Linked DNA regions of Callithrix jacchus. The protein of the gene in region 2 interacts with the protein of the main gene of each other region in a pairwise test. Links are inferred from orthologs where the notes say so. Each region holds a gene or a part of one and is shown on either strand. Other genes may lie near its edges.

Region 1 (3,093 bases), on a different chromosome or scaffold from region 2:
AGCAAACATTCAAATCTAAGTTTTTTAATCCAAAATATGTGCCCTTTCCACTGTGCCATGGTTCTGCCTTCAGGAAAAGATAATTTCTCGTCAGATCTGTGGAAAATTGGGTAAGCTTAACACTGGTCATAATATTGGTAATGAAACCTCTGGGAGGTGAAGAGGGAAAAAAATATATAGAGAGAAGGAAGACCTGGCAAAGGTGAAAAGATTGCCTCATAGTTCTTCTCACCCCAATAAATTTTTGTTTTTCTTTTTTTTTTTTTTGAGATGGAGTTTCGCCCTTGTTACCCAGGCTGGAGTGCAATGGCACAATCTCGGCTCACCGCAATCTCCACCTGCTGGGTTCTGGCAATTCTCCTGCCTCAGCCTCCTGAGTAGCTGGGATTACAGGCACACGCCACCATGCCCAGCTAATTTTTTGTATTTTTAGTAGAGACGGGATTTCACCATGTTGACCGGGACGGTCTCAATCTCTTGACCTCGTGATCCACCCGCCTCGGCCTCCCAAAGTGCTGGGATTACAGGCGTGAGCCACCGCGCCCAGCCTATAAATTTTTGTTAAAGTGGTCTGGCATCGTAATGAATAAAGAAACCATGGAAAAAAGAAATAATATGCAAAAATTCAAATATTTGTAAAATATTTGCTAAAAATTATCTGTATCCTAACATATGCTTTATATTACATTTTCTTTTCCCAAAAATGTACATCTATATAAATATTTATTATATTCTAGGAAAACTTCATCAGTAGCTGAAAATCAATGATTTTTAAGAACTATTAGAGTTTATTGTCAAGAAGCATTCAAACTCTATCACCAAACGCAACCCATATTTTCCTAATATGTATTTCACAATCTCTACATTCTCTCTTTAGTTACACACACACACACACACACACACACACACACACACCCCCTACAATTGCACTGGAAATACACATGCTGTGTTAGGAATGGAATGAGTCCTCAAAATATCTCTCTTGCTTCTCTGTTACTATCAGCGATGGCTCAGGCTATGTGTTTAGAAGTGAAGATGCTGCTAGTGGAGTGTTGGCCTCTTTCAGCCTCTTTAGCTTATTATGCAAGCCTCTAGTCCTCCTTTCCCATCCCTTAAACACTCATGTCACAACCATGTATCAGAAAGACAGTCACCCTTGAGGTAGCAAGGCCCACCCTGAGAAGTGAGTTAAAAGGCGTCCTTTTCAATGTGCCCAAATACTTTCAGGCACTGAAGATGAATGTAGAACATCTGGCAGCTGCTTTTCCATGCTTCTGCCTCTTCACATGGCAGCCCAGATGTTCTTCAGTCTTATTACTCCATTTGTCTGGCTCATAAACGTTAGGTGAGTGAGGAGCTACAGACCTTTTGAACCTTGTGGTCTCAAGGTCCACTTAGTTCATGTCTTCTTACTTGACCTCAAATGTGCCTAAGAAGACCGTCATTGAATACAACAGTCTCAGTGTGTGTAACAAAGAATCATAATGGAAAGAATCCCAAAGTGCTTTTCTTAGAGCTTATATAAGCCAAAAAATGTCTGAGATTCCTCAAAATTGACCAGAGAGAGCTCAGATACATTGACATATAAATGATCAGCACTGGTAAGATTGAACACTGCACCCAGGTAGCTGCTGCGGGCCCACATCTGCCCAGCAGTGCAGTAGCTCATCATCTTCCCCTCCATCATCACCAGATCCTGGGGATACTTAGAGTTCCTCATGTAGACCTTGTGACTCAGGGGCAGGTTGTTGCAAGACTGACCCCGAAAGTATACTTTGGAATATACAAAATACAGCCCAGTTTCATTGATCACAAGGCCACCCTTCTTATACTTCACTCCAGAAAGCAGGACAATTCCATAGGTGTCTTCCCATTCCAGAGGCATGGACCTTGAGTTGGGCTTGCCTGAAATAAATTCAAAAGGAGCTTTCAGCCAGGAATGTCATGCATCCAACAAACTAAGTTTCTATGGGAAAACCGCGGGTCCTTCCTTGAACAAATGTTTTACCCGGAATGACACAGCCTATATAGAACCGGCTGAGGGGCCAGAACTTGATCCATCACAGAATTTCTTAAACATTGTTGTCCTGTTTTGTCATCCACACAATTAGAACAATAGTATATATCCCAATCAATTGCAGTAAAAAATTATTAGAAAATATTAGCTCTCTGGAACAAAGATTTTATTATTTTCAGAACTAACACCAAAACTGCTAGGCATTGAGGTCCTTTCCTGAAGGAAAAAGCCAAATCCAAGGAACTCTAATGTCTTAAAGTTGGGAAGGATCTTAGGAACCATCTGGTCCATCTTCTCACCTGCAGTTAAGAATTTTTCAGCTCCTCAATTTGGGCTACAGTTTCCTTTTCTTTGTATCCCCACAGCATCAAGAACATAACCCAAATCTCTGCAGTACTAAAATCATCATAAGTGCCTGTCTTTCCCTATTAGATGTCAAGCTCCCTGGGGGCAAGAGCCATGTGCTACTCATCTTCACATCCCAAAATTGGCACACAGCAGGTACTCAATAAGTGTCTGCTGATCTGACTGGATCATTCTACAGTTTCTGCCTAAATAATACCAGGGACAATAGCCTACCACTTTCTGTGATATTTATCCACTTCTCAGTTATTTATGAAGTTTACAATGGGAGTGCCCATACCATATCATTTCACACCACTTTGCAGGCACAGGCTGAAAGTTGACAAGTGCCAGGACTGAGTTTCCCTTCTCACTCCTATTTATACTCTTGGACAAAACAGAGTAAAGCTCTTCCAGAAAACCAAGAAAGCACTGATGAAAATAAGTCCTCATTCCTCACCTTCTCAGCTCTCACCTTTTGGATCTGTGCCCCCAATCCCCAAGGGACTTGGGAATGACTGAAAAGAGTGAGGTCATGTACAGGGGTCATGTCATAATTAGCTCTAGGTCTCCAATTTAGAAGAGGCCCTTGCCCAGAGAATAGGGGCTCAAAGTATGTTTGCAAGACTGACTTGACAAGAAAGATGTTAGTATTGTTGGGTTCAAATACTGTCACCAGGAAGTAACAACTCTCTAGGGCCCAGTAATGAAACCAAGCAGCTATTCTGCCTGTT
Region 2 (3,197 bases):
TGGAAAAAACACATTGTTCTCTGGGACTGGACTGAGGGAGATGAGAAGAGACACTGATCTATACATGTTTATAGGTTGTATGGGAAGTTGAGGAGGCTTAGGGACACAATTTGCATAGTAGAGTAGGAGGTAAAATGGTTTTATGAGAATGAAGGAGAGGGGCTTGGCTTTGGGGCTTGAATTGAGTCATGAAGATACAGGCAGGCTATAGAGGGGCCAGGCAGGGTTGGACCCAGAGGAGAGCCATCCCCTGTGAGGGCGGGAGTGCAGCACCACCTCCTGCAACATAGCATCTCTCCCACTAGTCAGAGTGTCCCAGATTTTGAATGTTTCCCATTCATTGTAGAGATGGGTTTCTTCAGGATGGGCTAGGTCTACCAACCAGTATTTTTACCTGTAAGCTATGAAGTTCTTTTTGCCTCTGATAAAAATAGTGGGATCTAAGCACAGAATCCTAGTCTGGGAGCTAAAAGATATGCTGCACGTATCCCTACTTTCTTAATCTTATGTTTCCCAAATAGTACATATGGAAAAATAAAGATTGAGATAAAATTATTGTGCTTTATTTCTTTAAAGAATGAAAATGCCCATATTTCTTTCAATAAAAATGGAAATATGCTTATTTGACAGTTTTGTGAAGATGACCAAATTGTGATTTTAAAAATTCATTCTTTAGGTTGGCAAATTCTGATAATAAAATAATAGTAATTCTTTTCTACAAAAGAATTTTCTAAGCACTGCTTCTGTTACCAGACACTTGAGACTGACCCACCTCAGATCAGTGCTCTACATTAACCACAGAGACCCACACACGCACACATATGTATCTCCATACAGACATACTCTAAGATCACGCGGAATGCCATTTTTACATGTAGTGGTCACATCTTTATGAACTGTGAATTTGGGCCCTGTAATGGCACTGATAAGTGAAGTGTTCAAACCAAGCTTAATGGACGGAAGAGGTGATTGAGAAACACCTGAATGTCTTCTCTTGGGGGAACAGTAACCAGTTACCAAAGTCATGCAAAACAGAAGTGGCTCCCTTTGCTCTGGTGGATGCACCTGCCCTGGGCAGCAGGGAGCCTTCTGTGTAGCCTTCACCACTGACCACATGCTAGAGTTACTGCAAATGCAAATACGCTTTCTACAACAGCCCTGTCCCTTTCTCTTTTCCCAAAAGTATCAGTAAAGGTGGCTGCAATTTACATTGTGAATATATAGCAGTCTGTTGAGGGAATCATCTGTTATTAAAATAGCCTGAGTATTACTCCAGCAGAAGATGCTACAGCCTCTAAATTCACTGTGCTAGATGTAGCCCATGAGTTCTTTTATTATTTTATTAATAATAAATATATTTGAAAAATCCTATGCTTCAATGGATTTCTCCGATAAGGACTGAAGCAAGTCCTTATAGACGGTAGAGTTCATGAATCGAGGATACGAGTCTCTGTGCATCAGGGTGTAAATCTGAAGTTGAGCATCGTCGAATATGTGTTGGGACGGCTCCACCATGTTTCTGTTGATGACTTCTCTCACCCGGGAGTCTAAGCTCACCTGCCGACAGAAAGGAGTAGGATGTGTATTAGAGACTTCGGTTGTAGCTCCATCCCAAACTCCCAGAGCTTGTGTTCTTGTTTTCTTGAGACAGCCTCACCCTCGCCCAGGCTGGAGTACAGTGGTGCTATCTTGGCTCACTGCAACCTCCACCTTCTGGGTTCAAGGAATTCTCCTACCTCAGCCTCCTGAGTAGCTGGGATTACAGGGACCGCCACCATGCTTGGCTAGTTTTTGTATTTTTAGTAGAGACAGGGTTTCGCCATGTTGGCTAGGCTTGTCTTGAACTCCTGACCTCAGGTGATCTGCCCACCTCGGCCTCCCTAAGTGCTAGGATTACAGGCGTGAGCTGCTGCACCCGGCCTTGTTGTTTTTTAAATATCCCAAACCAAAGGAGATCGTCCCAAAAATCCAAACCCCCGAAAGAGAAACCAAAAGCATCATCAACGTGGTTCTCAAAGGCCAGTGGCATCAGTAGGTTCGAGGGCTTGTGAGATAGTAGCTGGGTCCCACCCCAGATTTAGGCGGTATAGAGGTCTCCCTGATTGCTTATTTCCCACAAGTTCTCACTGATGCTGGTGGGGCTCACACTGCTGCTTTGTAGAAAACAGGCAGCACAGACTGCCCCTTGCTCATTTCCTTGTAACATGGGGGCTGACGCCTGAAGGCCCAGACTTCCCCTGCTGGTCCACAGTGGCAGGTCTCAGGATGAGTGCTGGCCTGCCCGGAGGGTTGGGCACGTGAAGTGGACACTGACTCAAAATCCTGGGAGGTTCCAGTCACAGGGCCTGAGGGCAGATGATCCCAGAGTTTAAATTCCAGCCCTGTGACTGCATAGTTACAGGGCCTTGGGCAAGGTAAACTCTGTGTCCTAGTGAACTCCTCCCCTGAGGTGGGGATGATGATGAAGATGATGATGATAGTGTCAATGTTTTTGGTGATCTAATGACAAAGTGCTTGGATTTCACTAACCCCATAGGAGATGTCGCCTATTATCGCTCTGATGTTTGGCTCTTCCTAGACAAGACCGTCCCATAAACCAGAGCAAACGACTGGGCTCAAACTGTTCCTGTAGGACACTAGACAAATGAGTCTAGGCCAAAGGTGCAAACATGAACTCACAGGTCTCTTCTGCGGAAAGAACCTCAGCTGGGCCATCCCTGCACAGGCTGGCCATGATAGTTCCAATGCCACGCAGTGCTTTCATAAAAAAACTGAAAATAGGCCGAGCTTTTTCAGCTTATATACAGGTGGCTTACACCTGTAATCCCAGCACTTTGGGAGGCCAAGGCAGGCAGATCACGAGGTCAAGAGATTGAGACCATCCTGGCCAATATGATGAAACCCCGTCTCTACTAAAAATACAAAAATTAGCTGGGCACAGTGGTGCGTGCCTGTAATCCCAGCTATGCGGGAGGCTGAGACAGGAGAATCATTTGGACCCAAAAAGGCAGAGGTTGCAGTGAGCCGAGATCGTGCCACGGCACTCCAGCCTAGTGACAGAGTGATACTCTGTCTCAAAAAAAAAAAAAAAAAAACCCAAAAAAAACAAAGACTGAAAATGTAATTACTTAAATCATTAAATACTGGCTTATGTGATCTATCTTTCCAGGTGCATATATCCACCTTCCTCCTGGAAA

The links. The genes of interacting proteins can lie anywhere in the genome.
Region 1: the proteins of RGS20 (region 2) and FASLG interact in binary tests that used the Homo sapiens proteins (3 or more experiments, as listed by UniProt). The two-hybrid records come from large-scale screens. The link is inferred for Callithrix jacchus from reciprocal best matches to the Homo sapiens genes RGS20 and FASLG.

What each region holds. Positions count from the first base shown.
Region 1 is NC_133519.1:30,102,792-30,105,884, forward strand, and holds the end of FASLG (tumor necrosis factor ligand superfamily member 6), read right to left. Parts: intron 1,906-3,093; coding exon 1,511-1,905; 3' UTR 769-1,510; downstream 1-768. UniProt on the Homo sapiens protein: Cytokine that binds to TNFRSF6/FAS, a receptor that transduces the apoptotic signal into cells. Involved in cytotoxic T-cell-mediated apoptosis, natural killer cell-mediated apoptosis and in T-cell development.
Region 2 is NC_133517.1:710,372-713,568, forward strand, and holds the end of RGS20 (regulator of G-protein signaling 20), read right to left. Parts: intron 1,558-3,197; coding exon 1,369-1,557; 3' UTR 542-1,368; downstream 1-541. UniProt on the Homo sapiens protein: Inhibits signal transduction by increasing the GTPase activity of G protein alpha subunits thereby driving them into their inactive GDP-bound form.